Linked DNA regions of Anolis sagrei. The protein of the gene in region 1 binds, or shares a complex with, the protein of each later gene. Links are inferred from orthologs where the notes say so. Each region holds a gene or a part of one and is shown on either strand. Other genes may lie near its edges. The genes, in order: XIRP2 and NEBL.

Evidence for each region.
Region 2: the proteins of XIRP2 (region 1) and NEBL are in contact, whole or in part, in a crystal structure (PDB 4F14), measured with the Homo sapiens proteins. The link is inferred for Anolis sagrei from reciprocal best matches to the Homo sapiens genes XIRP2 and NEBL. Residues at the interface, in NP_689594.4 of Homo sapiens: Pro2420, Pro2421, Pro2422, Thr2423, Leu2424, Pro2425, Lys2426, Pro2427; in NP_006384.1 of Homo sapiens: Tyr963, Asp964, Tyr965, Asp969, Asp971, Glu972, Ile987, Asp988, Asp989, Gly990, Trp991, Met1004, Pro1006, Asn1008, Tyr1009.

The regions. Positions count from the first base shown.
Region 1 is NC_090021.1:196,393,597-196,410,082, forward strand, and holds the start of XIRP2 (xin actin-binding repeat-containing protein 2), read right to left. Parts: upstream 7,453-16,486; 5' UTR 7,438-7,452; coding exon 7,293-7,437; intron 1-7,292.
Region 2 is NC_090026.1:107,520,318-107,537,291, reverse strand, and holds the start of NEBL (nebulette), read left to right. Parts: upstream 1-9,782; 5' UTR 9,783-10,555; intron 10,556-16,974. UniProt on the Homo sapiens protein: Binds to actin and plays an important role in the assembly of the Z-disk. May functionally link sarcomeric actin to the desmin intermediate filaments in the heart muscle sarcomeres.

The DNA.
Region 1 (16,486 bases):
ATTATCTACATTATCTAATTTGAACTGGAAACTACAAGTTGCTTCTGCTTCAGATTATCTGCTTTGAACTGGATTATACGAGTCTACAAAGCAAATAATCTGGATTTCACATGTCAGTGTATGCTAGCTGTCCATCCCCACAGTCAAATACCTTCAATAAATTGACAGCACATGTTGCAAAGGAGAATTCCCTTTCTCTTTCTTATTAAACCTAAGGATAATGCATCTCATTGGGCAATTACCACCCGCACATTCTTGTGTTGTAGGAGAGAAGGAAAACCCTCTTTATCCTCTTTTTCCATAGAGTGTATACACTATAAACTTGATGTCTTCCTTTAATTGTCTTTATGTTTCTAAGCAGTTTCGCGTTTCCTTTTACCGAGAGCATTCCAGACTCATTTTGGCTGTCCTTTCCTGCACTTTCTCCAGGAATCCAGCATCAGCACCGCTGTGAACAGACGGAAGACATTCAAATGCACTTTGAAAGCTGTGCAGGCGGTGAAGCAATATCTTGACTCTTCACCTTGTCGTACTTCTGTCAGAAATCAACATTAACAGCTCCAAGCAGACAAAATAATAGGCTTATTCATAGGTGTAGCAAGAAGAGGCAAGTGACTGAAAACCAAAAAGAGAGCAATGTTCTGCAGATACTGAAAGTACGGCTTCATATGAAGGAGAAGAGCTTATGCTGTAAGCCAGGAAGTTTCTCAGTTCAGCCATATAATTCAATATACCACATCCCTGAAATCAGCTCTCTGCTTCAGCACCCTTCTCTGTTTCACCACATCTATAAGGGAGTTTGCTCTTCTGCCTTTTTGTTTCTGGGTTCTTCTGGCAGTTTTACTTCTAAAAGTTTCTACTGCTAAGAGGATGGATTGCTCTCTCATGGGCACCTGCATTATCAGTAGCTTAGGAACTTCCACATCAATGATTAATTTTTATTCTGTAGCTTGGAAACTTCCAAGTGAATACATCTGATCTCCATATCCATGGTTTCTGCATCCATGGATTCAACCATCCATAGCAGAAAATATTTTTTAACCCCAAAAGCAAACCTTGGTTTGGCCATTTTATTTAAAGGACACCATTTTACTCTGCCATTTTATATAATGGGACTTGAGCATCCATGGATTTTGGTATCCACAGTGGGTCCTGGAATCAAACCCCAGCATTTACCAAGGGATCAATACAATGGCTCTGCCTGTGCCAGAAGTTTCAGATTTGGACATTCGAGATGGATTGACTGGGCCTTTCTGAATTGCCAAGAGTATTGAATACAAAACCTGAGCTCTGAAGTCACCCTGTATTTACAGCCTCATGGGATTTCAAGTCATTCTGTGAAAGCCATATTGTTGCTATAATTTGGTTAGTTTTCCATGCATACATATTTCTACTGTCACTTTTGTTTTCCTGTATTTCTTGCTGTATGCCCCTGTTCCCCTCTTGTGGTTCTAGAGTTCTCTTGGCCTGCCTTCTGGCCTGGAACTCTGTTCTTAGCAGGTGAGAATTTGCCCCTTGTTGCCTTAGAGTCCAGGAATGTCCTATAAGACCCATAATCCTCCTTATTGAATAGAATGGAATAGTTTAATTGTCATTGTACATTATACAACAAAATTAAACAGATTAAATTAAATTAAATAGATGTGTGTGGTTGTAGTCTCCCTGGTTGAATTGGACAAGTGGTAGGAAGAACTTAGTAGTCCTTAAGCCAGGTATTGCACTATCTTTGACTTTTTCAGGCAAAAAAGGAAATTAAATTGCTGATCTTGAAAGTCTCTAAGAGAGGTGCTTCACTTTTAAAACTGACCACACCTCTCCTCCACACTGTTCCACTTACAAACCTTCATATTTCAAAATCAGGAAATTGGCTTTCTGCAGCTTCCTAGCATTGTTATAGTTTGGCATTTTGGGCAGTTCATGTGACTCCTTCAAATGCCGTGGGGCAGAAAAAAATGGCTCCCAAATTTGCTGAGATTGCCCATTCTTGGTGTAAAGCCAGAAATACTTCTTGGCTGAAAGCCATCTTTACAAAGGTCAGTACAGGCAGTCCCCAAGTTACAAACTTACCAATGGCTCATAGCTAAGAACAGGGGTGAGAAAACAGGAAGTGAGGGAAATCTACCCTAGGAAGGGAAATCCAGTCCTGAAAGAATTATCCTAAGGAAAAGGTGTCTCCACTGAAGCTTTATCACCAAGCCTTGTTTCCACAACAAGCCAAACTTTTCAAAATTCAATTATCACAGAGACAGAAAGCAAGGTGAAAACCTCTGAACAGGGGAACAAACAGCAAAACAAATGCCACAGGGGTGTCAACCCTTCCCTATGCTATCCAAAGCACACATAGATGTGTGTATGTGTGTATACACACACATGGCTGGAGTTACACTTAAAATGTATTTGTTTTGACATACATACTAATTCAGCTTATGAGCAAACCTATAGAACCTATCTTGTTTGGAACTTGGAAACTGCCTATATTGCTAATATTCCTTAAGGTTTTGCTGAAAGGTTTACTGGAGCAAATTCCTAAGGTGGAATGTCTCAGGAACCTGATCTTTACAAGCAATGTATTATAGGACCAGAGTTTGTTCATCTGCCAGACCTCACAAAAGGTGATATTAGAACTTTCTTTTATTTTTGTGTGAATTGTTTATATACTGCATATTTATTCTGTATATTACTTGTACGTTTATTTTTATTACTGATGTGTTTGACAAGTTTATTGCCTTATGGTGTGTTGACTGTAATACAGACTTTGACTGAAAAGATGAATCCTTCGATTTCTTAGCCTAGAGCTATGCTTTGGGTACCAGAAGTCGATAGAGCTTCAGTTCAGACAGAAATATAGATTTGTAACGTTCTCATATTACTCCATTCTTGCATTGTGATTCCCCTGTAACTGCCATGGTACCTTCAATGGGATTTTGGGTCTTAGAGTTTGGTGAGGGACTTACTAGGAATTCCAAACACCTCTCACCAAACTGCCAATCCCAGGATTTCATGAGATGTTTCCATGGGGTTAGAATGGATCACAATTCTAGAATTGTGTAATATGAAAAGGTTCCAGGAGTATATCTCTGTGTGAACTGTAAAATACATACTAGAATTGCATAATGTCAACAAGCCCTTGGTTTCATAATCCAAATTTTCTTGATTTCTTTACTGTTCTTTATTTACTAGAAATGGCAAACAATTGGAAGGCAAAAACCCTTGTCAGTCTACTGCAAGTCATTTCATGAGCATCCAGGTCTATCTCTTCCCACTCCTTCCCTGAGGGAATTAAGTGTAAATGATGCATTAAGACGCTGAAAATCAAGTGAAAAGAAAGACAGAATTAAATTTCTGAGCAATGACACTGTTGATTATGAACAGATTCTGCTTAGCTATGGTTGTCCATTTCCACCTCTCATGTATATGAAACTAAATATATGAATACTTTGATTCATTACTACTAAAAAAGACCATTTTGAAAACAAAATGTTCATTTCCATGATGCAATAGCCACACAATAATTCTCTCAGAGCACAGATGAGTAATACAAATGTCAGCATATTCTTCACTACATGATTTAAGTGTCCAGTTTGGCGTGTCATCAAGTGAAATATGGGTTGTTTTCAGCTTGAATTTCATAGTTTATGCTACAGCATATGAAATCATTTGGCTAAAAATGCAGCTTATTACCCCTTAGATGTTGACAGCCTAGCTATTATAAATATCAGCAAGCCTGTTAGAGCTCTTCAGGACCCTGATATATGAGTCTTCCTTGTAGAAAATATGAGAAAAACCTCTTTTTAAATACTATGTTTCTGAGAAAAGTATATTTTCCTAGTGGGAATTCCAGCAAATATGTTTGGACAGCTCTAGAGCCCAATGATCTAGCTAATGCAGAAATAAGATTCAGTTTGAGCACATCTCTGACAGGTTTCCATTCCCTCCTCATTCACCTTGCCACTTTCCTTGCTGAAGATTTACGTGGCTCATGACAAGAAATAGTGCTTCCCTAAAGGAAGATGGATCAAGGTTGATCAGGAGATTTCACCACTGTGCATAAGCAGAGCAAATCAAATTGACTTCGTTAATCTTATTTTGCTGGCATTCATATTTACAGGTCTTAATGCAAAATGGGAGATGCTGCTGTCCATGCCTTGTGGGATAACCCACTTTGCCTAATTTGAGGCGTCTGAGAGTTGATGATATCCACAGCATTCTTCTTTCTCATTTGGTTGTCATTTCAGGGTGCATCTACACAGCCAGATTATTTGGCAGTGTAGACTCATATATTCCAGTTTAAAGCAAATCATCTGGGTTCTGAACCTGGGATATAAGGCAATGTAGATCCAGCCTCTGGCCCATTCTACACTACCATATAAAATCCAGATTATCTGCTTTGAACGGGATTATATGGCAGTGTAGACTCATATAATCCAGTTCAAAAATGGTAATGTGGATTGTCTGCTTTGATAATCTGGATTATGTGGCAGTGTAGAATCCATAGATAAAGTCCTAGTATATACAATAGCACAGTAAAACAGTGCCCCTTGTATAAAATGGCAAAATCAAGGCTTGCTATTTGGATTTTTTGTGGGGAGGGGATAATATTTTCAAGCTATAAATGGTGGAATCTGTAAAAGTAGAATCCGTGGATACAGAGGGCCAACTGTATAACCATAAAAACACAACTTGACATTTATAGTCTTGCCAAAGAAAAGGGAGGGGAAAGTACTATACGTTTCTCTATACAGAGAGAAATGGTGAAGAAGTATCAGGGAGAAGGCAAGGGCCAGATGATGGTATATATCACCAACCCACTGATATGAATGGTGCTTTCTTCTTTTCTCGTAGAACTATGGAGTTGGAAGAGAGCACAAGGGCCATCCAGCCCAACCTCATTCTGTCAAGCAGGAATACTCAGTCAACTGCTAAACACCTCTTACTATCAGGAAGTTCCTTTTGATGTTCAGGCAGAATCTCCTATCTTGTAGTTTGAATGCATTGCTCCATGTCCTAGTTTCTGAAGCAGCCGAAAACAAGCTTACTCCATCTCCAATATGGCATCCTTTAAAATATTTAAACATGGCTATTATGTCCTTTCTGAATTTTTTTCTTCTCCAAGCTAAATATACCAAGGTCCCTGAGGTGCTCCTCATATGGCTTGGTTTCTCATTGAATTAACATTCTGCACAATTAATACAATCTCAGTAAATTTAGCAGGACTTTGTGCACTTCTGCCTGTAACTCTTCAACAAGAGATCCTTATTGTTCTTCAACAAAAGACCGTTATGATTGCTTTATATTGAGAAGTTATATTCTACTGTGACTGATCTAACCTCCTGCCACCCCTCTTCAGAAAGATTTTTTCACAAAAGGCAGGCCCACTCATGTAGAAACAAGAACCCATGGCAATGAAGCCAGTGAAATTGCTGTTATGATGAAGTCATCTAAAGTTATTGACTTGTCAGATTGGTTGAGGCAGCCGATTGGTCAGTCAGTGCCCCCTCCCTACTCAGTGACCAGAAAAATATATCTGTCACTGAAAGTCACTTGATGTCACTACTTGTGAGATACAGGTTGCTTTGGTTGTTTGCAGCTTGTCCAACTAACTTCCCATGGGTGAATATCCAGTCACTTCAGTTTGGCACACCTAGCTTCAAGAAGTCTATTCTGCCTTGGTTAGACCACACCTGGAATACTGTGTCCAATTCTGGGCACCACAATTTAAGGGATGATTTTGAGAAGCTGGAATGTTTCCAGAGGAGGGTGACTAAAATTATCAAGATCTGGAGAATAAGCCCTATGAGGAGCAGCTTAAAGAATTCATGTATGGCCTGTAGAAGAGAAGGCTGAGAGGAGACATGAGGATCATGTGAGGGGAAGTCATAGGGAGGATGGAGTAAGTTTGTTTTCTGCTGGCCTGGAGATTTGGACACTGAACAATGGCTTCAAACTAAGGCAAGGAGATTCCACCTGAACATTAGGAAGAACTTCCTGACTATGAGAGCTGTTCAGCAGTGTGGTGGAGGCGCCTTCTTTGGAGGCTTTTAAATAGAGGTTGGATGACCATCTGTTGGGGGTGCTTTGAATGCATTTTTCCTGCTTCTTGACATGGGGTTGGACTGGATGGCCCCTGAGGTCCCTTCCAACTCTATGATTCTATTATTCTAAGATACTACTGGATTATCTCTTCCCCCTTCCAATTTATCCTCCTAACAATCCTGTAAGTGCATCTTCAATGTAGAACTACTATGGTCTGATGTGGTGGGAGAGAGAACGATTGGCCCAAGGTCACACAGTGAGCTTCATGCCTGAATGGGAATTTGACCCCATGTTTCTCTAGAGTATTGTGATTCGGGAAACACTATGCTTACTTGCTCTCCTTATGTACATTTAATACTGGATGGTGCATTAAACTACTATTTTTTTCAAGTCTGGTTTAGGCAATGTTAGGTTGGATGTAAAAATATATTAGCTAATTATACAGGCTATATCCCTATGCAGTGAAAAACAGGGGAATTCTTTACAGTGACTTCAAAACAACCATCTTGAAACTTCCAAAACATAAAACAGTATCTGTACTTGGAATCAAGTATTTGAGTTTTGTTCTTATAGCACTGGAAATTTATGGCAAACTCTGCAGTTTTTAAACAACCAGCTATTAACATTTAAATAGCATTTTCAAAACATTAATAAATCAAAATTACTTTGCAGAAACATGACACCATTCTGTCTCATTCTATCCTAAAATCATTAAATATATTTTAAAGCAATCATCTGAAAAAGAAAAGGTGGAATGCTCTTTCCTTCCTGAGATTGGAAAGCACAATTCATCCTTTTATTGAATGCAGCTTTGATTATACAGTCACCATTTTCTTGAAGTATTTTGATGATCAAGAGCACTCTTTAAGAAAGGCCCTGCACTATTTTTTAGTGAAGGAATTTACATGTTGTTCTGTTTGAAGCTGGGAAAACTGTCTTGAAGAGAACAATCAAAGTTGTTCTTGCTTGCATTTTATTTATTGCAAAAAACAAAAAAAAAATCCCCAACAACAACAACAACCTTCCCCAAACATTATGCTACTGAAATCTGCCTTTCAAAATTACAGGATGTCAAATACATTCTTACTTTACAGCATCGAATGCAGGTTTCTTTAGAAGCCCATCCATTTATTATCATATCACTTCACTTTGAATCTCTGTCGGGAAGGGGTAAAATCCCTCACATAATGTTTTACTGTCTTCCTTGTTCAATATATGGCATGAAAGCAAGAAATCAGATCAAAAAGTGTTATGCTAACCTTCAGCGCTGTTGTTCAGAGCATTTTCGGATGACATCTTGTCAAAAATTGTTTTGCCACCTTTTGCTTCTGGGTCTTTCACAGCAATGATGGAATGGCTCCCAGGCTGATTTTTAAATGCTGGTGATTGCAAACTTCTCTCCATTTCTACTTCCTGTTGGAAAATATTAAGGGGATGTGTATTAAAAGCTATCAGGAGGAAACAGATGTGGTTCTCAGTGGGAGGAGGATGCAAAGAGGTGAGGGAGGGAGCAGTGGGGTTCCATGGCATGATTGATGTTTTCCAATGTGCTTCAGGGTAAATCACTGTAACATTTCCGAGAGTAACAAATGTAGTTTTGCAGTCAGTTTACATTTCAACACCTAGAGGAACTGGGCGACCACAGCAGCTCTCATTTGGTTTTGCTTTTTTTCATGTGGCCCACATAACTTTTCCAGAAAGAAAGAAAAAAATCACACAGGGGAAAGTCACAAGAACAAGGGCCATGGTGTATTTTTTTTGAAAGATGTGGAAGTTTCAATCTCACTTGCAGGCACTAGTCCAAAGAATATGTTGGCCTTGGATGCAATGGCTACTTTACAGGTTAATTTTACAAGTAATTGGTTCCTGTTAGCCATGCTAATGTTTTTAAAGCAGTTGGATTAGTATGTTTTATCATCATCATTATTCCATTATTTTGCAGTATCGTGGTTTTAACAGTTTTACATTGCTTATATGCCTTTATCTGTAATTATGTATATGATGGATCATATCTTATTTGATTGTATATGTGGCACTGAATATTGCCATATTGTAAGCAATTCTGAGTCCCCCTTGGGGTGAGAGAGGGGGAGGGGATATAAATATAGTAAATAAATGAATGAATAAATATCTAATTTTATTTCTTTACAGGGAAACTTAGGATTGATAATAAGAGTGGCACAAAGCTAGAAAATGTCTGTCAAAACATCATTTAAATTCTTTAAATGGCCTTTAAAAATCTCACTACATACCAATTACTGCATACCAATACAGTAATTTTGTTCACATTCGGTATGTCCCTTTTGACACAGAACTTCATTCTTCATTCTCCTAACAAACGGTAAACTTGTTTTTTTCCAAGTTCAGACTGCCAGTAGATGGATGAGTCACTAGTACTATTTAGCAAAGTAGACTAAAAACCTAAAACTTCTGTGATTCTATAACACTTAGCCATAAAGTGGTTTCAAACTGCATTCATTCTGCAGTGTAGATGTACCCTTGTCTCCCAAGTCATGCCTTGGATATGTAAGCCGCCCTGAGTCCCCTTCGGGGTGAGAAGGGCGGGGTAAAAGTAAACCAAATAAATAATAAATAAATTTGCAGTGTTATTCCTAGTGGTAAAGGAAGCAGAAAAGGGAAGGACTGAGCAAGTACCAAACTTAACCTGCTTCTAATAAAAAAGATCAGTTTCAAACATATTTGTAAAGTTCATGACTCATGACCTCATCACACAGGGTTTTTCACCTATCCTAGGATACTACCAAATTGCAGCCAGGGCAGAGCTTGCCGGAGCCTATCACATAACACAGGGCTATTTCTGGTGGGGTTCTGCCTTGGCTCTGTGTCAGCAGTGTGTTTAGAGGTTACTCTACTGCCCCATGGATTTGCCCACTCTCTCCTGGCTTATGGACCTCCATCTGATGAGGTCTTCACAATGCAATGTCAGACATGTCTGTTCCAAAGTAAGCCCTTCTCAGTTTAGTAGAATTTGTAACATTAGTAAATACAGCCTCAAAATGCCTATTTACCCTACCACCATCTCAAATGCAGCTGGTGGGAACGAAAGGGGGTAGCCTTCTCCGTGATTGTCCCCTCCAAAGATATCAAAACAGCTCCCTCCTTACCCTCTTAAAAATTAAAAATCTACTTTTGTTCCCAAGCATATTGAATATCATGCATAGTCACAATGGAGTGGAAATGTCTGGTCACTCAGGCTGGTGGCTGCAAAAATTCCATTTTTTACCTTATTTTGCTTTGTTTAGATTTTGGCTGTTTCTTCCCAATGTAAGATGCAGAATCGTATATTTGTTATGTTACTACTTAATTCTTGTTAATCTGTTGTTACTTTTGATGTAGATGTGGTTTGTTTGGTGTGGTGGGTTATTTTGTCTTGGGCTATTTTGTCTTGGGCTTTTTATGGCATTGAATATTTGTCGATATTTGTTGTTAACCCTCGGGGAGATAGAGTGGGATATAAATAAAGTTATTATTGTTATTATTATTTTAATGACACAAAAACACAGTATGTCACAGCAATCAAGATATATATGCTGGATTTCGTATCACAAAATCACAAGCGTCTAGGACTGTGTGATGTATTTTCGAATGATGCACACAGATCCAAGTAAGGTGGCCTTTTGCAGATTGTTATTGTTATTATTATTATTATTATTATTATTATTATTATATCTGGGTGTGGAGAAAATTCCCATAGTTCTATTGTTATGAACCAATCCGAATTTAGTGATGTTTCGACTGAGAAACTTCAAATCTGCAGGAATTCTGGGTGATTAAGAATGGTCCTTCAAATAATGAACTCTATATCATGCTTTTATCAACAAAGAATGGTGCAACAAAGCTGGTTCAAGTGGTTAGGGGTCTTTTCATTTCAGAGGGATTTGATAGATTTGCTGCTGCAGAGGAGTGAACCCAATTTGGATTTAATCTCTGTTCCTCCTGCAGCTGCTAGCTGTCCTGGGGCTGGACCCCATCTCCATAAAGGTTTTGCATTAGGAGAACTCCTCTACAATTCAAAGTAGATGCAGAAAGAGCAGGTATAAAATTTATCTATAGTTTTTGTTTCAACAGAGCTACCAATTGGGAAAAAGGCAACAAGACACTCTGGGGTAGGGGGAGGTATTTGGAACAGTGCTGCAATTCACATTTTGAGACATAGAGCTCCAGAGTCTTCGGAATTTAGTATGATTTGCAGTTGACAAGTTCATATCCTTATGTTTATGGATACATTATTATGATTATTAATTTCATGTATACTTATGCTGCTTTGAGAGGTAGGTATACATAACAGTAATAGGAATATTGAAAGACATATCAGCAGATTCTCAAACAGAGACATGGATTGGAGTACCAACAATGGAAAAATGGGTTGTTAAAATGGCTGAGTAGGCCAAAATTGCCAAAGTATTCTGAATTTTAAAGGACAAACAAATTGAAGACTTTTTGAAACACTGGAAACCAGTGATGGACTTTTTTTAAGGAATACAAAATCTAACAGTGTAATGATTTGCAGCTATGACTGTTTGGGTTTAATTGAATTTGCAATGGAATAATATTTACCCTTTCTTATTTTTTTTTCATTACAGTCAGAATTAGAGGGTTGAACTCTATTGTGTGTTAGTTGTAGGTCTTTTTCTCTCCACCTTTCTTTCTTTCTTTCTTCCCTCTCTTTCTTTATTTTAGAATGTATTTTATTTTGAATATGAATTTGATTTCAGATAGTGTTAAAATCAATTAACAAATAAACTGAAAGAAGCATGAGCTGAGTGATTATCAACACGTTTTCACACACTCTCAGTGGCATGAGCATTTAGCAAGGGAGGCATGATATGCCTGTGCTTGCCTTCCTAATAAAACCTACCATCCTGGAGTGTGCATGAACCCACCCTGGATGCATATTTAGATGGTGGAAATCTAACTACTATTTATAAGTTAGACATAGGGTTCTGCGGAGCCCTATGCCCAGTTCTCCATATTGTTAGGCCTGGATGGAGATCAATTGTGTCTCTGATCTTCTAAACATACAATATGACCCATGTATTTATGGAACTTATAGTTTCATTTATCTACTTCTGTCTAAATATGAGTTCTCTAGACATTTTCTATATATAACAATATGCCTCTGTGGTATTTTGGGGTATGAAGTCTTTCATTTCAATGGAATTCACTATTATTTGTGATTTCATATAATCACACAAATTCCTACAGATAAGGGAATTGTTCTGTATAATTCACAGTTCAAAATTTACAACTCTGGTTGTAAATACAGCATATCTATTCACACACACACACCAATGCATTTATGAACTGAGAGTTGATGGTTTCAAAAGAAGAGAAAATATAAGAATCTGCATCCCTCCAGAATATTGTGATCCAACATATTCCCACAATAGATAAATAAAAACCTCTGAATGACGGTTTAAGGACTGCAGCCAAAGAGGTTTGGCAGGTGTCACAATTATGTACCTGTCAAAATGTCAGTTGACTTAAGATTTGTCAGAAAAACTATAATGCAGAATTAGAAGTGTGCATGTCCTTCCCCAAACACCTAGTAATGTATGTGAATTTGTGAGATTTTAAATATACCAGGGACCATTTTAGTCAGGGCAGAACATACTGTGCTAAGCAAGGTGGCTAGAATTACTGTCTAGTGTCTACCCTTGCTATTTACTTCAAATCTAAGCCAAGTTCTTGAAAGTTCCCAGAGTGAATTGAGGCTTGCTGTCAAGTTCTTGTCAGATATGGTTTGTCAAGCCATACTCTTTGTTGACTACTGGATACACACAACTATTTTGTATCACTTTGAAAGTGCAAAGAAGCAAAAACAGGTTTTAACTTATACAAATCTGAAACAACTAACATGAGAATGAAAGAGTCTTAGACCTTTTTTCTACCTAACATTTTAATACCTATCAACGAGATTTACCTGACATGCCTAAAATAGTAAGCAATGGGAAAACACCTGGAAAATGATATGTGACTTTTGGACTGATAAATGCTTGCACTCATATTACAGTAATCCATTGGTCTTCATCCAACTAGTAGCCCTTATTAGAACAGACCCATTGAAACAAGGATGCTACTTCCATCTCATGGTTGATTCAATGGAATGCTTCTTGTTGAGACAATCAATTGGATTCAGACCTTTGCTGTTATTTTCCACCACAATTATTTTCCACCACAATTTTTCCAGTTTATCCCATGATATGTTGTTATTGTTGCCATTGTTGTGTATTTTCAAATCATTTATTACTTATACAACCCTAAGGTGAACCTATCACAGAGTTTTCTTGGCAGAATTTGCTCAGATGAAGTTTGAGATCCTTTTGGAGAGAAGAAGTGTGTTATAAATAGAAAGGAGGAGGAGGGGGAGGAGGAGACATCTCCAACAGGTAAGGGCAAAAATACCCACCCACCTCCTCCCTGCAGCTAAACCTTCTCAGCTGGGGAAAGCAGTTACCATCAGGGGTGACAAATTTGAGTGGATCTTAATGGATAAACTTCATAACACCACAAATATAATCCCCATGGGTCCCACAGCAATAGAGAGCTAACCTCTAGTATGGCCTATCAAATCATTTATGACTTATAGCAACCCTAAGGTGAACCTATCACAGAGGGGTTTTTGGCAGAATTTGCTCAGACGAAGTTTGCCCTTGCTTTCTGAGGTTGTGTGTGACTTGACCAATATAACCCATGGTTTTTCATGGCTGAACAGGGCATCATAGATCAGCTTTCCTACTGTCTGGTGTTTGAATCTGATCTCAGTCCAATTACAGGAATGATTCACTCTATTTTATGTAACTGATGAAGAAGGTTGATGTGAGGGTGGGAGTTGAACAACATTTGGAGGGATGCAATGTCACAACTCCCATGCCAGAGGACCTCATTTAAGATGTTGGCATGACTAACTGTTCTGTGATAACTATGTTACAGCCAATATTTTTGAGCTAATCAGCTGCTTTATCAGCATAGTGGCAAAACAGAATTGGCTGACGAACCTTTTACTGATGGAACTCTTAGAAAGTGGGATGTTGCAAGGTCCATGGATAGTGCCTGGCCACCCCAATCTTTGCATCTTCAGTTGATGTCCCTGAAGTAAGCATGTGGATGAGTCCTGTAGTTGAAGATGTTTACATGCCTTCAAAGTATGCAGATATTGGCTGAGATCTTGCATTGAAGAGAACTTTTTCATAGAGTTTGCATAACAGTGACACTATACAACCAAATGGCCATTATCCACTAAGGCAGGCATGGGCAAACTTCGGCCCTCCAGATGTTTTGGACTTCAGCTCCTACCGGCTGTTAGGAATTGTGGGAGCTGAAGTCCAAAACACTTGGAGGGCTGAAGTTTGCCCATGCCTGCACTAAGGCATGTTGTGCAATGTGCAATCAGGTAACAAATACACAATGTGGAACAATGTCCAACACACAGTCTACCATGATCTACAAAGGTACCATATGCATAATTCCACTTTTGTATCCTTGAACTACACAGATGTCACACACTGGACAAGAAAGTCCAATTGCATACAGAGGGCATTTATTCATGTGCAAGACATCAAAAGGATGTCAGCCATTTAAAAATGTGCAGAAAAAATAGGCCACTGGTGAGCGGTTTACTTCTCCAACGCTTGACTTGCTTCACAGTGTCTGGATCTATGAACTTTTTCCTCCTGTGGCCTCCGTCTGCATAGTCACACAAGCATAGCAAACTGGTATAATTCTGCTCACCAAATCCATATGATATGGAACAATGACTCTTAACCTCTTTAGAGTCATAAAAATAGATGAAAGCTATGATGCTCCCCTGAAAAATGCATTTAAACACAATTTTCAAAGGAGCATTGTGGTAATAGAAAGGGAGGACTCTTTTTGGCACCTGGTTCAATTATGTGCTCATACAGACACACAAAAAGCAATGTCTATGTAAACTGGATTTTTATGAAAAATGTGTCTATTTGAAAAAGATTAGAAGAATGACATGAGGGAGAGCATTCCCTGTAAATATTTTTCACTTCTTTGAATTGACCATTCAAGTGGCACTGAAGAATTCTAACAGCTAAATCTTTAACTCACCAGGATGAATACATTTTACTTCGATTCTCTCTTGAACATAAAGCCTTGCAAAAGGATGCTTTGTGTATTCAAGATCCAGGTTTTGTCCTGACTTTTATGTAAAAAAGAAACACTTCAAGCATTATTGAAATGACAGGTGCATATTCAAAATACCTAAATAGAGTATGTTTCTGAAAAGACAGAATCATATAAGAAGATCAAGGGGGGAAAGTAAGTAAAACTACTTGTTCTAATATATATACTTTAAAGCTATCTAAAACCAAGCGCATAATCATCTCTGACACATACTGTAGTGTTTTAGACATATTTGAAGCTAATCTGAATACCTGATGTTATAGCGTAATTGTGTTACCTGTAGCAGCGGCCATTGTTTAATTCATAAAAGAAATTGCTATGGCCATTAAATCAAGGATGAGCAACATGTACTCCCAAGGGCTGGGGATGGGTCCCAAGATCCTTCAAGGGTCACTTTTTCAATGCTCCCATTTTGCCCCAGAATGTCACAAAATGAGGAGGAATGGGTGGTATTTTCATCACATTGGGAGGCCTTGTAGGCAGGCATGTAGCCAGGGGGGGCTTGAGGGGCTTCAGCCCTCCCCCCCCCCTGAAATTCTCATGGTGGTTCGCGAAAAGGCCTTACTGGTGCATTATTTAAACTGTTAAGTTTATTCATATCATGATCTGATCACCATACTCAATATATCCCATATGCATGGGGGTATTGGGGTAATGATACAAAAGGTTTGTTAGGCTAGACCCTCTTTCACTCAGACTCAGCCCCCCCCCCGAAACTCAGCCCCCCCCCTGAAAAAAGTTCACCCCCCCCCCCCCCCCGAAACAAAATCCTGGCTACAGGCCTGCTTGTAGGGTCAAAACACATTCTTGCATTTTTAAAAAAATCTTTGGCCAAAAATGCCTGAAAATATCTGACGAGTATGGGAAGGACCAAAAACATGCTGGAAACGTTACCTTGTCTCCTAGGCATAGTCTGTGTCCAGGTTGGTTCATCAGGTGCTCTGCGATGGCTGACTTTTCTGGTTGAAGTAGTCTGTGGTGCCTTTCATGTTCCTTGATTCATGTTTGGGCTGTGTGTGGTGGTCCCTATGTAAACTTGTCCACAGCTGCATGAGAAGTCAGCCATAGCAAAGCACCTGATGAACCAACCTGGACACAGCATATTATCTGAGAACACAGAAATGCTGGACCACTCTAACAACTACCATGTCAGATGACACAGAGAAGCCACTGAAATCGACAAGCATGTGGACAATTTCAACAGAAAAGGAGGAAAGCATGGAAATGATCAAAATCTGACTACCAGTATTTAAAAAAACTCTAAATCAGGACAATAAATAAAGAACACTCAGAAGACAGAGGAATTCCCGACAGGAAACAATCAGGGTAAGCTAATACCTTTCAACAAAAGATCCTTCTAGGCAGCAATCAGCCAGGCTTTGAAGCTACAATGCCATTAAATGCTAACCAAGATGGCCAATTGCAGCATTCACACTTCAAGCAGACAAGAGTTCTTTCTCTCACTCTGGACATTCCACAGATATATAAACCTCACTTGCCTAGTTTCCAACAGTCCTTACAACCTCTGAGGATGTTTGCCATAGATGTGGGTGAAATGTCAGGAGAGAATGCTACTGGAACAGCAACCCAGTGATTCTGGCTGTGAAAGCCTCCAGGTAAAGGTAAAGGTAGTCCCCTGACATTAAGTCCAGTCATGTCTGACTCTGGGGTGTGGTGCTCATCTCCATTTCTAAACCGAAGAGCCAGCGTTGTCCGTAGACACCTCCAAGGTCATGTGGCCGGCATGACTGCGTGGAGCGCCGTTACCTTCCCGCCGGAGCGGTACCTATTGATCTACTCACATTTGCATGTTTTCGAACTGCTAGGTTGGCAGAAGCTAGGGCTGACAGCGGAAGCTCACGCCGCTCCCCGGAATCGAACCTGCGACCTTTCGATCAACAAGCTCAGCAGATCAGTGCTTTAACCCACTGTGCCACTGGGGGCTCCTTGAAAGCCTCCAACAACTACCTAAAAAATCACTTCATGATTCACTGGAACCCTAGCGATAGCATTGCTGGTCCTCCTGCCAGTGAGGCATTGCATGACAAGCAGGAGCAGCAGGACCAAACAAGTTATGTTGCAGGAGCGGAGTGGTTTAAAAAGAGAAATAGCTTCAATATAGCCATGATGAGTCTTTAGAAATCTCTCTCCCCTCCCCACTTTCTCTCTCTTCTCCTATCTAAAGTTTTGATAATGAGTAATGAAACTTGTAGTGGAGAAATGTGATGTGTTTTATAATTTCTTTTCATATTTTTCCTTTTTTTTTCTTCATAAACTGAGT
Region 2 (16,974 bases), on another chromosome or scaffold:
GTGTGAGTACAATCAATAAAAACCAAGTAGCATAAGTATTAGAGGCTGTGGGGGAAAGCTAGATGCAAAATGGTAGGTTAGTGTGTGTATATGCGCATCAACTTATGGCAAGTTCATAAATTTCATAGGGTTTTCTGAAACAAGGAATACTCAATGTGATTTTGTTAGTTCCCTTCTCTGAAATATAGCTCACAACACTTGCTTTTAATTGGCAGACTCCCATCCAAGCACTAACCAGGGGTGATTCTGTTGACCTTCTAAGATCAGATGGTACCTGGTCCTTTTAGGTTATTAGAAGGCTATTACAATTTTGAGAGCCATTATGATATAGTGGTTTGAATAGTGGACTACACCAATGGAAGATCCGGTATCAAATCTCCACCCAGCAATGGAAACCTACTTTCTTGGGCTCAGAAGAAGGCAAGGAGAATCCAACTCTGAACTAATTCTGCCAAGAAAATCTTTTGATAGTGTCACCATAAGTCAGAAATGACTCGAAGGTACACAAAAACAGCAATAAAATTTCAATTGGCCTACTTTTGTCCTTCTTCCTTTTCTTTAGTTCTGTTGTTTTGCAGATAAAGCTAGTTAAGGGAAATGTTGTGCTATTGACTTTTTTGGTTCTATTGTTTCTAGATGCGGCTCTTTTAGTGTACACTTATTTAACTGCTACATTTTAAATCTGATAGTCCTTCTTGCAGAGTTAAGAACATAATACACACATATGAGTGCATGTGTCAGAAAAATCATTGCAGATGGCCATGGAAGCATTTGCAGGACAACTGCCCAGTTAGCTACATGACACAGAAGCAGCCATCTCTTGATCAGCTTGGTGCAACTGCATCATTACATCCTGTGTAATTACTGTGACCATTCTTGGTTTTTAAAAATACAATCAATTTGTATAGTATTGATCACATTTCTTTTGTTTATTTTCCTCCCTGCTATGTATAAAGGAAGGTTGAAATGGGATTTTATATGATTGCAGAATGTATAGCCAATTGTATTTGGAATCAAATTCTGATTACATTTTAAAGGCCATTTAACATTATTGGCTTAATAATGAGCTTAGGACAAGACATAGACGACTTCAAATGACGTGGTGAAAGGAAGACGAGGAACACTAAGGTGTAAAAACATTGGGTAGGAGATGTTGCTACTAAGAGGTTGCAACGTACTTTATCTAAGTTATTGTAAGGATCAATGTTGTTTGTGCTATAACTTTAAGTTGCTGTAAGGTTCAAGGCTGTTTGTGCTACAGCTGTTTCAGTTAATTGAAGAGTTAATTGAGAGTGTTATTTTCATGTGTATAAAGATAGCTACTGTGTGTTTAGCCATTTGCCATTGTGCGTTTATGCTATTGTGCATCTATGCCTCTGTGCCGTTCTGCTTTGTGTAAGCCGGGGACTATGCTGCAGATGTCCTGCGAAGACACAGCCATGAGAAGAGGACAAGGATTCCTGCTTATCTCAGCTGAGTAGTGATATCTCTCAGAAGATATTGTTTCATGTTACTTTTGTGGAAACAGTAATCCTGCTACTTTGTTTTTGTATGCTACCAATACTACAATATTTTTCTTTTCTACTTTAAGCTGAAGTCTCGTGTGTTTTTCTTTTAAGAGCCAATTCATCACACACACAGTTAACTGGGCTAGAGTCAATCTTCATGCTACTCATGCTAACACATGACAGGAGAGACTATAGTGTATTACTGAGACATTCAAAACTTCATGTATTGAACATTTCAAGTCCCAGGTTCAATCATTGGTATCTTCAGTCACACTTTTTCTTTGAAAGGGCTACTTTATTGTGTGCTTTTCAGATGCACAATCCAAATAGCAAAAAAGAACAAGATAATAAAAGCAGAGGATGACAACAGTTTAGAAAAAGCAGGATGATTGATTGATGAAATTTGGCCAGCTGTAGTCTGGGGATCTGCAAAACTATTAATGCACTATGAGTTCAATTTACAAATGAAAAATTAAGATGTTCCTTCATGTATATTCTGAGCACTGAAAGTATGTTCCTCTGATGCTTTTTAGTGGCAGTCTGTTCTCTTCATCCTTACCTACCTCCTCCCATCCTCCCTCAATTCCTGGTTTCTTTTGAAGTTTGATTTCAAATAGCTGTACATTGTGCAATCTTTCCAATTGGGTTAATGATACAATACATTTTTCCATTCCTTCTTTTTTTGTTTATTGGGTACAGTAGTTGGCGATGTTGAGACTTATTGTGGGAAGTTGTCCTATTTTGCTACATTGTCTTCTGTTTGTGAAAGGGTGCAAACTGTTCAAATTCATTAAATATTTTCAAAAAGATTCTTTATATGATAAAATAAATTTATGTAGTACACAGAAGTAACTTTAAACACTTCTATTCTTTTAAATTGTGCAAAATGTTCAGTATTTATTGAACAGTATAGTATACTTTTGAATAGAATTGTGTTTGACTGGTAGCTACATCGAGCACACAATCTGGTTATTTATATCAGTCACTGTTTTAAGTTAAATTGTTATCACTTTAAAATGAATCTCATGAATACATATGAACAGTGGAGGGCTAGGTCTAAAAATATTGATTACCAGGAGAGATAGTAAAGAGCTGACAGGCCTATGGACCTCATCAGAAAGCCCAGGCAAAGCATCCCACTACACTGAGGTTCTGTAAGGAAAGAGGGAGCAGTGGGGCGAATCAGTCGGCTTGCATTATGTTTCCTCTCTGTGACACTTTCCTCATCACATTGGGAAAGCTTCACCCTTGCAGGGAGCAAGCACAACTTGGAGGCAAGCACAATACGGGAAGCCTCCCATGTTGGGGTGGAGGCACCCAGCAATACTTTTACCCTGGATGTGAGCAGGGCCTCCACCTGATGTCACACAGCATTGTGTGACCTGTCAACCTCTGTCCCCTAGACAGGGGGGAAAGCATCACAGGGTGATAAAATCACTCAGTCTGATGAGGTAGTAAATGATGTATGCATCAGTCTCACAGAACTCGAATCAGAATTATGCTTTTCAGAATTATTATATTCTTAAATATAAAGCATCTTTTAAATTGATTTAATTATTATTTTATTAAAATAGTAATTCAACATAAATTTTAGTTGCATACACTAGTAATATTGGACCTCATATTTTAAAGCTATTTATTTATTGTGTCAGAAGCAATTTGGGAATACAGTTATAATGCATAAAAACCACAAAGTTAAAAACTTAGCATTATGCTAAATTTCCTTTGACCAGAAGCTGGCCACTTCAAATGCCTCTGATGTCACTGTAAGGTCCTCCATTGCGCATGTGATTTTCAAGCTACTAAAATTGCCACCCTCCCCCAAAATTAAACAATATGTTAAAAATGTAAATGACCTTTTAGTGGCTTTTGTTTTCCATCTACTAAAAGGTCATTTACATTTTTAACATATTGTCTAATGTTTATGAGGGCAGAGGCACTTGCCATTGGGCACGCTGACATTCTGGCCAGTCTGCCAGTGAATATGAAAGCAAGCTGATCCAAGTTCCTATCTTTTGCCTTTGGTAAAGGCACAAGATAGGAACTTGTAATCACAAAAGTTTCAGCTGTCCTTCCTGACTATGATCAGGCACTGTTTTTTTTTTTTTAAATTGGTATGCAGCTGCTAAGATGCTGGTGGCTGTGTATTTTATCATTACTTTCAGTTGTTTCTGGCTGCCAAACAACATTATATTATGAAAAATGCATTTCAAAGATCGGCTCCATACAGGCATGTAGCCCGGGGGGGGGGGGGGCTTGGGGGGCTTCAGCCCCCCCCCGAAATTCTCATGGTGGTTCGCGAAATGGCCTTACTGGTGCATTATTTAAACTGTTATGTTTATTCATATCATGATCTGATCACCATACTCAATATATCCCATATGCATGGGGGTATTGGGGTAATGATACAAAAGGTTTGCTAGGCTAGACCCTCTTTCACTCAGACTCAGCCCCCCCGAAACCCCCCCCTGAAAATTTTTTAGGGTCCCCCCCCCCCCCCCCCCCGAAATGAAATCCTGGCTACGGGCCTGGCTCCATATTATGGACTTTAATAAAATTCATTCATTTTAGTGTTGTAAATTTCTGGTCTTAATGTTAACTATTTTTTGTTAAAAAAACACTCTGTTTTTAATGTTTTAAAGTTTTACACCCCTGGTCTGTGACCGTAATAATAAAATTCATTCATTCATCAGGAATAACTTTCTATTAATTTATTATCTGATGACATAAAATGTTATCTTTTTTCTGTTTGATAGGTCAAATACAAACGAGACTTTGAAGAAAGCAAAGGAAGAGGTTTCAGCATTGTAACTGACACACCAGAACTGCAAAGGCTGAAAAGGACTCAGGAGCAAATCAGTAATGTATGTGACAATGACAGTAGATCAGAGAAATGGTGCGCAAATGAAAAGGCATGGTTGGAGATGGCTGATAGGTTTCCAGTCTGGAATCTGTATGAGTGCAGAAACTGGAATATTTGATGACTTTGTGTGTGTGATTGAGATTTGGTTTACATTAGCAGCACATTGGTAGTGTGTGTGTTCCCTCTCCAAACCAATTACTGTCAAATATTCCTATCCTGACTGTTAAAAAATTCACATGCTAGAAAACATTCTTGCAATTAAGACTATTTTGCAAAGTTTTATTTTTAATAATATTATGCAATAGATATACTTTGCAAATTATTTGGGGTAAAATTTGCAAAATGATTTCACAAATAACTTCAGCTTCCAGAATTACCTTTCTCACAAGAAATATTACCTTATATACAAAGAACTGTGAGTGGAACAACAAGTCTTTTTTCAGTGAACATTGCTCAAGATCTAACAGAAGACTTCTCATGGTGGAGCACCACAATGTATCAAGGATTGCAGTACAGTGCAAGATAAAATGATAAAAGGACGTGGATCTGGATCATCTCTTGGGTCTTGGAGACCTTGCGCAAGCAAATATCTGGGATTGTGTTTTTTGTGTTATTTGGAAGGATCCAAGCTATTGTCAATATTTATTTATTCAAAGTGCAAAAGTTATTTATAAGATAAAAATATGTATGCATAAACGTATACTTGAAGAGCTCACAGCAAGTACCATGGAGATTAATAGTCTGAAATGTGAGCCATGGTGTAAACAAATGTCACAGCTTCATAGTTTCTCATCCTCTCCAGAGGTATCATTATTTCAGTTTTCTAACCAACTATTGGCGGTGTGAAGATAGGAAGAAGATTTGTTATGTTAATTCAATGACATTTTAGAGGAATAGTTTGTGCTGCAAGTTGACATTGGCTTATGAATAAATCCTTGGAATTAATGAAGATTTGGAAGTAATCTGGGAGGATACCAAAAGGACATAGAAGTTTAGGGAAAAGGTAAATGAGTGAGGGGCCAGGTGATTTTTTTCCTTCCCAGATTATTTTTTTTAATTACAATTATAAAATTAGGTAAGAACTTGGGGCTTGGGAGGACCATTTTGACTGGACTTTCCTCAGCTCTGATCGAAGTCATAGTGGTAACCATAAAGAAAATGTTTTAATTATTTTAAATAATTGATTTCATGCAGTTTCCCTGCATAAGCATGCATATTAAATGGTTGATATAGGACTTCAAGCATACATATTTGAAATTTCATTCACCCAGGAGTGTAATATAAGACCCTTTCCTGTATATTTTATACTGTAAGATTTATATCTGCTTATAAGATTACTTTTGATAATAAGGATTAATTCCTCCACCATTGATTTTGATTCCATGTGATATGATAAACTCCATTAAGCCTGGCTTTATGAAGTGTTTGAGTCTAAATCCAATTGGTAATTCCAAGTAAAGTAGAATTAATAGGTTTACAGTTAATGAAAAATTCATTTATTTATTTAGCCTGTAACAATCTTATAAGTATCTTGTTATGGTAGAAACAAATGTTTACATTTTAATTGTGACTTTTCAGAATATGTTTGAGATGGCTGATCAGTGAGTAAAGTAAGTAAATGGGTTTATGGTTGCTGTCCTCTGAAATTCTTAGTCGTTAAAATGAAGACTTCATATATTGTGACTAAATAACACAATTCATGAATATTCTGCTTGCTTCCTTTAATGTTAATGTTTCTTAAGTAAAATGTGGAAGTTTTTTCAGAAAGAATAGGAAGAGTGAGAGAAGAGCACTGTTCAAATTCAGATCATAATGATGTGTCAAGAGCAGATTCATGGATTCAGGTGTTCTGATGATGTTGAAGAGAAGGAAAACATGTTACTGGCTGGTAAGTTTGCTATTTTGTTCCCTCTAATGTGTGGATTTCTGTTTTTGGCATTAATTGGATTGCATTATTATGCCTGCATCAATGTTGATATAAGCCATGGTTAAGACATCAAGACTATTATGCCTGCAGTCACCTTGATGTCTTCTACAAAAGAATGTGAAAGGTAAGATGGTTGGAGTGCAACCTACCGAAAGGCAAGTTTCTTATGAAGAGATGTCTCTCTATATAAAATGTATACCCTGCCAAATTCTACTGAATATTAAAGGTCTAAATTTATAACTAAACAGTGAGGACAGGACTGATTTGAAGAGCAAGCATATAGCCCAAGTAAAAGGCTTGATAGAATTCTGTTGTCATGGCAGTCAAAAATAGGTCTTTCTTATATGGATTGCTCTCGGAGTATTAAATAAATTAACTGCTTCTCTTAATGACAAGTTTTAGACATTTTGGTTCACCTTTCCATGGTTGGGTGGGCATTTTAAATTGCCTGTGCATTTTCCAATTTGTGTGGTGTGATTTAAGATGCTTATAAATTATTATTTTTTCAATATTTCAAATTTAAAATATTCACATCTATTCTGCTGGGACAGCACACTGATTTTGGGCTTCGGAGTTGTCTGACTACGGCATTTGCTGAGAATGCAGGAACTTCACATTTATCTTACTTGTGATCAGGTGCCTTTATTTCTTTTTCTTGTAACAGTTAATTTTCAGTATGCTGTGAAAGTTACTTTGTGTGAAAAGTATATAAAATTTAACATCCAATTTAGGAAATGAGTTTAGAAAATGAACAAGTTTTTATAAAGTAATATAAAATCTAGTAAAATAATTATCCAGTTGCAATGCCGTTGTGGCGTCTACAGCATTTTTTTACAATGTGATCAGAGAAGCATGTTGTTAACATTTGATACTATCTGCAAATGAACATTTTAATTTATCAGTGGGATGTTGTATACACATTTGTCTGTTCTTGGTAGTTTCACAATTGTGTTGGTTTAGCACCATATAGTGATATTGGTGGAAGATCCTAGAGAGAAGTTAGTACTTTCCCAAACTGCTTGGAGGAAGCAGCCATAGTAATGGAAACTATTATTATAAAGAATTCCTGGTCTCAGGTAAGCAGTCTGTAACAGTCCCCGAGTTACAGACATCCAGCTGACATAGTTAAGAACGGGGAACAGGAAGTGAGAGAAAACTACCTTTCGGAAGGAAAATTCACTTCCGAAAGAGTTATCATAGGGAAGAGGTGTCTTCACTTCACCATCAATTCTTGTTTCCACATTTTTCAAAATCCAGTTGTCAGAGGGACAGAAAATGAGGTGAAATCTTCAAAACAGGCACAGACAGCAAACCAAACACCACAAGGCTGTTAACACTTCCTTATGCTAAGCAAAGTGTGCACACACACACACACGTGTGTGTGTGTATGTGTGCATTCTGTTACTTTCTGTTCCTCAGACAATTGGCTGTAGTTACACTTAGAAAATGTACCTGTTCCTTCTATATACAAATTCAGCTTAAGAACAAACCTATAGAACCTATCATGTTCATAACTTGGACTACCTGTACTCTCCTTGGGTACAACTACATTATAGAATTAATGCAGTTTGATACCAGTTTAACTTCCATAGCCCAATGTTTTACAAGGCATTTTGCCCTTCTCTACCAAAGAGTGTTGGTGCCTTAGGATTCTATAGTATTGATCCATGACAGTTAAAATGGTGTTAAACTGCATTAATTCTACAGTGCATGTCACTCCTGAACATTGTGGAAATGTTTGGGAGTGACATTCAGCAATCTATTATGTCTGTCATTTTTATAACATCTTCAGTGAATGATTGTAAAATGATCTTGATATTAAGAGTGCTTTCTCAGCTGACATGGATTTATATGTAATCTATTCATTTCAAATATGACAAAATCATATGCTAATCACGATGTAAACAGTGACTACCAGATGGATTTTTGAATGATAAATTAAAATTTATAATTATACACAAATATTTGGTGGAAGCTGTTAATATGTTTATGATTATAAGTTTTAACATGGTGAATAGGGTAATTAAATAATTGCTTTAAAATATCTGGCTGGCATTCTCTTGGTGAATTATTGTAGTGTAAGCCAGACTTACACCATCACAACTCACTTTTTTGGCCATTGCATAATTCACTATTGGGTGCTTTAATGATGTCATCTGGAGGGACCTCCTGAAGACGGTCAGAGATCTGTTTGTAGATGTCTGTTGCAATGCACCCAGATGGAGGAAAACAGTTGGATCCATCCCTTCTGCCCCCTGAAATTTCACACCAACTTTATTGTCATAGTAAGACGATCCTCAAGTGCTTTGCACTGTGTTTTGGGTTACTAACCCCTTTGAAAATCTGATCAAACATGTGGACATACTTTCCAGAAAAATACACATAAGCACGTAAGTGCAACATTTTGCTTGCAGTGCCTATTTGGAAAAACAAAACAAAAACAAAACATGGCTGACATCCTATTCACAAGGTTCTAAGCAGGATATGTGATTTCATAACTATTGGGGATTTATTTATTTATTTTAAACATTTATATTCCACCCTTCTCACCCCGCAGGGGACTCAGGGTGGAGCACAACATATATACGGCAAACATTCAGTGCTGGGACATAATTTATGGTCATTAATGTCAGGAATGACTACAAAACCTACTGTTTTATCCTGACAGTGTCTTAACTGAAGGGTTTCAGATATAGTTCCTTGCCCAATCAAAGGGTGCCATGAGACCTTGAGGAGGTTCTCCAGTTGCCTGTTCTCAGTGTGTCTCATAATTGGGAGAGTACTTCAGATACCATTTCCAAGCATCCTGATCTCCAGTTCTTTGGAAACCTTTCAGTTGAGGCTGAAAGTTTTTTTTTTGAGGAGGGACATTATATATTAGACGTACCTATGATGGTAGAACTTTGTCATAGTAGTTATATTGGATATTGAAGATTGCAGCTCATATATAATAATAATAATAATAATAATAATAATAATAATAATAATCTTTATTTATACCCCCCCCCCCCCCACCATCTCCCCGATGGGGACTCAGAGCGGCTTACATGGGCCCAAGCCTGGACAACATATTACAGCAAAATGAAACCAAAACATTATCTTAAAGTTCATAGTGATGGGGAAAATGATAACTAATTAAAATGGAGTGTAAATAGTCGTATTTTGGCACCCAGTTCATGGATCCCATAAAACCCATCAATGATTCCATTATCAGAAGACCTAATATTTCTTGAGACAATCCAAGTGTCATTTTGGTATGCAAAAAAGGTAAACATCTACTTCCTAGGCAGAGGTTTTCTGTTCAAGGAGAACTGTAATAAGCACCACAGTCTCAACTACCTAGACCTGTGTATGACCATTCTGGTACCCCTAAAATCAAATGTTTCATTTTTGCAACTATAGCTCTATTTCGAGTATACATTGCATTTATTTTTGGATTATTTCAATCATCACTGATATTTCATATGTAATAGAATATAATTCAACTTTGATTATCAAATAAATATTGAATAAATGTTTCCAGAATATCTGCCATTACCAAGTTTATGTAGTCTTAATATCTTCAGGAATGTCAGATTGTTGGTTTACTTTTGTATAAGGGATTCAAGTTGTTGCTTTTTTTAAAAATGAGAAATGACATGTTATTTGTATAGAGAGGCTGCACTGGAAATTTCCTGTCACCACAAATAGCCATACTAATGTAACTAAATTTGCTACTTGCTGATGATCATGAGCTGTGAACTATCTTGATTTAATTCTAGCCTCTAAGTTTACATTGAAAAACAAAACAAAACAAAACCAATCCTATAATTAGAATTTGTTGGCACATTTATGCGACCTGTTTACTTGTTCAAGCATAAGCTGTGTCTGGAAATTGATAAAGCACCTTGCAGTGAGAGTTGGCAGGGAAGGATGTTAAAATCAAAGCCAATGTGTGGACAACAAAGCTTAAGTGTCTGAAGACATTAATTTAAGAATTTTAGACTGTATTTCTATAGGCATTGACCTAGGAAATAACAAAGGAGTTGTGGTAGGCATGCATGGGATAATGCTGTTATTCTGTTTTATTCAAATGACAATCTGCTGTGTTTCCCAAATTATTAAATCACATCTTATTCCTGTTTGAATAAATGGGTGGATTTTCTTTCCTAACCAAATAGACGCCACTGGTTTGAAAGCATAAATGAAAACGATGAAGTAAATTGGAGACCGATTCCTGTCATCTAATAATCATGTTTCTTCTAGTTTCCTAATCAGGTAAGAAAATAACTTGCATGAAATTTCTGTGCTTTTAAGTCTGAAGGATTCAATCTTTTGCTTTGAGCTGCAATTGATAAGCATATTTTCAAAGTACAATGGCCTCAATTTAGATATAATGGCTTCTAGAGAGAGAGAGAGAGAGAGAGAGAGAGAGAGAGATCGGGCTCGATTTGCTCTTCCCATTTATTAGTAATTTTGTCTGTAGATGGTTCCCGTAGAATGCCCTTCCAGCACCACATTTCAAATGAATTGATTCTTCATTCTTCTTTTTCACTGCTCAGTCTTTTTCACCTGTACACAGACATTGAAAATACTGTGATACAGATGATCATTGTTTCAGTATCCACTGATATATCTTTGCATTTGAGGATGTTATTAATTTCTTTTTTAGCTATTGCTCCAGTCCTTTTCTTCTGATTTCCCAATTACATTGTCAGTTTTGATACATAACTAAGCCAAAATATGGTAAGTCTTTGACCATTTCAGTGTCTACATCTCCTACTGTAAAGCTGTGTAAATCATGGGCAGTCATTATGTTGTTTTCTTAGTCTTTATTTGTAACACTGCTTTTGCATTTTCCCCTTTGACTTTTCTCAATAGTTGCTCTAGTCATCACCTATTTCTGCAAGTGTCGCCTGTGTATCTTAACTTTTTGTTCTTATTTTTTCCAATATCTCCCTCCCCAATGTTGGGAATTATTGAGAATTACCTTCATTCTAGCCTGATTTTGTGTTGGCGCTGTAGCTTTGTGTCTCTGGCTTGGAAGAGGATTGACTTGGCACAGTTTGACTCTTTCTTGAACCTGCCCTTTATTTGCTCCTTTTTTGCCTCATCTGCCAGTAGATCATACTCAACAGAACAGTTCTGCCAGCATGTTGCTTTACTGGCAGATCTCTGAAATGATTTTGCCAGCAGAAGGGGATTTCTGCCAGCAAAGAGACCTTTGCCTGATCCTTACCCCCTATAGCCACTGAAGCTTTGAGTTAGTGCTGCACTGTTAGCTGGCATAGACTGAACAGGAAAGTGTTCCTGTGATCATGGTACATGGCTCAGTGAAAGTATTTGATGCATGTTCATAGCAGCTGTCAAAATGTAAATTCCATCTTAGGGATCATTAGGAAAGGGATTGGAAATAAAACTGCCAATATTATAATGCCGTTATTACGGCACATCAGGTGCTTTCTCTACCTCAGAATGGATGTTGTGGAGCTGAAAGTGATCTCAGAAAGGGAAACCAAAATGGTTAGAATTCTAAAGCATCTCCTCTATAAAGAGACATTGGAACCATTTACTTAGAAGAGATATAAAAGATTATGCCTGTAGTGCAGAAAGTAGATGGAGAAGTTTCTCCTTTTGCCAGAAGAATATGAAAACCAAAGATCCAAATGAATATGTTTGGTAGGAGATTCAGAGTGATTAAAGTGATTATATTTTCACACAGTGCATAGTTGAATTTATGGAATTCACTGCCAGTGATGAGCAGCTGTGGTTCCCGAGATGTGGCAAGAGTAGAGTTCTCTTCAGCCATGGGCTGCATAGCTAGATGTTATAGATGGGCCATATTTTCCAATCCTGGTATAGACCAAGGCTTCTGAAATATTTTCAACTCATGACCCTTTTTTGTCTGATAAATTTTTATGAGACCCCAAGTATATAGGCATGAAATAGATATAAAAACCAAACATTTACTGATAAATCAGCATTTATTTTTATTTATTTATTTCAAACATTTATATCCCATCCTTCTCAATCTCCGAAGGGGGACTCAAGCATTTGCAAGGCTTGCTAAACAGGCCAATTTTGCTTTTTGTGGAGGACAGCTGAAGCATTTTCTGCAAAGTACTGTAAATGTTGCTAACAGATTTGTGTAATCTGTTGTTGATTTTTTTGTGACATTGAGCTATTTTTTGTGACATTGAGCTGGGGGTCCCATTTGGGGCTGGGACCCACAGTTTGAGAAGCATTAGTATAGACAAGCAGCCCAGTGTGTTTGGTAGTATTTCTTTAAGGCATTAGGCAGAGATCCCTCTCACCATTGGTAACATCATTTTACATGAGGGTGCAATGTTCTCTGTTATTGAGCCACAGCACCCCATCTGTTCACAGATTTTATCTGAGTGAGATCGAAAAATCTGGTCCTATAATTCATCCTTGTCACTATCTGGTGCATTGGCTCAGCAAAGTGAATATCAGGATTACCGATGACTGTACTTTTCTGGCACACTGTGAGTCCTCTAAGGCTTTAGCGTAATATCTACGTCAGCGGATTACACAGGAGTTAGCCAAAATTGTGAAGTAAGCAGTCATGACACTGTGATCTTTCAGAATCTCTTTTATATCCAGAATTTGATGAAAAAACATTACTTTCTCTCTGTGGACCAAAGCTGTCCATTTTTATTGTTGTGAGAAAACTACATTAGAATAAGCACTTTGGGGGGGACGGGGGACTAGATTCTGGCACCAGGATGATGGAAATATTTGATTACATTTAATTATTTTAAAATATACTATTCCTAACCATCTTGATACAGTATTTCTTAATCAAAATATATAGTGTCATAAAGTGATATTTTTTAACATTACTTATTAATTGAGCAATAGCATAGATGCACAACACTGGCAATTGGACTTTAAAGGTACAATGTTTTCCAAATCACTACTTAAAATGCAACTTCGGCTGTAAATTATAAGCCTGCATATAAGCCTTTAAATAACTCTTATTACCTTTTAGAAGCTCAAAATATTTTTTCTGTATTCGCTTTTCTTCATGAAATTAGCCCTCCTTTCCTCTCCAAGGTCAAAAAAGTTTGTATTTGAAAAATATAATGGATTATAGAAGAAATGAGAATGGGGAAGGCAGAATTGTTTTTCATCAGCTGCTGACTTCTTATGGTTGCCTTGGCCTCGGAGTTATTTATTGCATTTTTATGATTCATCATCTGCCTGTTGACTGGGAAAGGTTTTCTGTTCTGTTAAAATGTTGAAATATAGATGAATAATATTGGTACCTAGCAGTTTTCTTCTTTGTGCCTATTTCATTTAGCTTATTTATTAATCTAATGTTAGTTTTAATTTTTGATATATTTCATTCATTTAGTTGCAGTAGTGGGATTAAATAGCTGGAAGAAAAGTGATGAGATTTACAGCTACTGCAGGATGCAATATAGTAAAATGCAACATAGATTAATTAGCAAGATCATTGTTAGGATAGAGTTCCCTCAAATGGCATAGTGCCTACTATGGGCCCATTATATTGTTGCAGTTTAAAATATAGGTATTATATTTGTGTTTTCTTGTGAATAACTGGTATTATTTTTAGCACTAATATACAAAAACTGGTCTATGTGATATAGTGGAGAGGACAAATTTGTAGCAGTCGTTTTTTTAGTGAAATACTTGGCTCGATTTTGGAAGTTAACATTTGATGAGAGAGTACTAGAGAGGCCTAGGTAAAAAACCATGAGTCAAGGCTTGGAAGAATGCTCACTAAAGCACCGGATAGCTGCTTCCATTCAGAGTTGATATTATTGGCCAAGCTGGAATAGTGGTCTAACTAGATATGAGGCAGCTTCTCACATTTCTACATTCCATGTTCTACATTTTTGTGTATCCTACAGTGGAGCAGGAATAAAAGGAAGATTGCATAGTCAAGGAGGTTATCTTGAAAGTCTCTCTTTTAAAGTCATCTTGATTTTTATTCGGTACCATAGTAAGATCATGTTGGATTTACATTTTATGGAGTTGAATTTGATGTCCCTGAGGCCTTGTCTCTTCCTTGAAGAACTCATTTTTGTTAACTTTTCCTTGACCAATTGTTTCAGCATTCCTTTTCTTATATTCTGCATTCTTACTGATATTTATGATTCGTCCTGGATTAGCAGGCTTTTTATTTTGTCTAAAAATATAAAATGCTACAATGAGCTGCCTTATACTCTGTTGTATGGTTGGTATAGACTAGCGATGAGAGACTGCAGTGCCCTTGATGTGGCTGGAGTACAGCTCCCATCAGGCCTGTAGCCGGGGATGGGTGTGGGTTAGGGGTTCAGGTTAAAAAAAAACTTTTTCAGGTTAAAAAAAACCACCTGGTATACTCATGAATTTTAACTGGTTAACCAAATCCACATGCTAAGTCTATGAGATGCAAAAAATTAAGAGTCCCTCCAGAACTGCAAGCACTATCTCAAGCAAATATTGACAATTCATTCACACTGTCATTACTTGTAGCAATAACCGATGTAGCAAAGCAACCAAGTTGGGGTGGGTGGGTGTTGAATGCTCTCATTAAGGAGGCCAGACTTGATGGAGGTGGTTGACAGGGGCGGAACTGCAGGCTATTGAAGGCTGCCCTGTCCCCTGTGGTGCTCTTTGCTTCAGTGTGAGCTAGGAGGCAGTTTTCAACTCTCTCCCCCCCCTGAAATTTTCAATCCCTCCCCCCTGAATTTTTTTTCTGGCTATGGCCCTGGCTCCCATCAACCACAGGCAGCATTGGTAGTTGTAATGGATAGGGCATATTTTACCAAGCTTGGTATAGATGAAGCTGGTACCTGAATTTGGTAGCATTTTTTCAATTCTTTGTGGTGATCTCTCTCACCATTGGTAACACCATTTGACACAGAAGTGCAAATGGTGATTTAAGTATACAAAGCATACAGCCCGAAAAACCTACAACAACCCATACAAAGCATGTTCTCTGTTACTTGGCTACAGCACCCTCTGTGTATACAGCCCTTATTTGAGTGAGACCAAACACTTCAAATTCATCAATATCATTATCTGCTGAGTTGGCCCAGCAGATTGAATATCAGAATTATTGGTGAGTGTGCTGTTCTTGCACACTATGAGTTCTGTAAAGACTCTAGCCTAACATCTACTTCAGCAGATTACACAGGAGTTATTCAAAATTGTGAAGTAAGCAGTCATGATGCAGTGATCTGAATGTAATCAGAATGCATTTATATTCATTCACCTCATTTCATTTCCACTTAAATATTAGCTGAATCATGCCACTAACACAATAGTGTACAGTCATGGAAACAAATCATTACACAGAAAATCAAAGTAATTCATTATTTGCATTGTGCAGGCATGCACCGAAAGTACTGTTTAGGTTTAAGTCTTGCACCTGGCTACTAATTTTCCACTTTAGTCTGAAGACAAGACCATATTAAGACATGCTGAGCTACATTAAGTTTAAGGGACGCCATCATATCACAACCCCAAAATGTATATTATTGTCACTCTATATTGGAGTGGCTGGGTAGTCAGATTCCAACTGGGCACTTAAGCTAGATCATATGGTTTCTATTGGAATAGGCGGCTCCCATTTCTGAAACTGTCTGTGTAACCTAAAAACCTGCTCTGGGGGAATTAGGAGATGTTCTGGATCAAGTTTTTAGGGTGCATAGGGTGTTGCTGGGAGTAATGGATGGTTGGATATCCTTTCAGTTACAGTACCTTATCTGTAATATATGGATGGCAATTTGAAATACAGAGCACCAGTGTGGTATAGTGGTTTGAGCTTTGGGCTATGTTTCTGGAGACCAGGCTTTGATTCTCTGTTGGTCATGGAAATCTACTGGTGGCCTTAGTCCAGTCAGATTCTCTCTGTCTCAGAAAAAGGCAAATGCCCTCTAAACTAGTGTTTCTGAATCTGTGGGTTCCCAGATGTTTTGGCCTTCAACTCTCAGAAATCCTAACAGCTGGTAAACTGGCTGGGATTTCTGGGAGTTGTAGGCCAAACACCCGGGCATCCACAGGTTGAGAAGTACTGCTCTCAACAAATCTTGCCAAGAAAACATGATATGACCACCATAAGTCAGAAATGACTTGAAGACACACAACAACAGCAACAGGTTTAATATATAGGTAGAGTATGCAGCTTGCAGCTCTTTGGATATGTTGGATTGCAACTACCAGCAGGTGACACAAATGTGAGAAATTGTGGAAATTGCATTCCAACACTATCCAAAGTGGAGGGCCACATATTCATCCTCACTGATCTTAAAGCAGACATTACATATTAAAATACACGCTTCAGGTTCTTCATAGTATACCTGTGTCTTTCAGGTATAAAATGAAAAGACCTTCCTTAACAGAAGTATGCGTAATAATTTAAGTAGAGATTGAATTTAATGGAAAACTGCTGTCCAGTACAATCTGCACCATATTATTTCCCAGTTGAATTGAATTGTAGCTCTTGTAAATGTTTAAGAGTAAGTGTTACTGTATACCAGAAACAGGATATAATTTAATGCATCATTTCTTCTGACAGACTTTCCCCTAAGAATCTGTAAATGCAGTGTCAGCACACAGTATGAGACTTCCCAACTTAAGTAAATTAAGTTGTTCGGGCAGTATTTTTCAGTGTGACAGAAATCTATAGTGTATGTAGTTGCACTGTGATGATGACTTTTAGT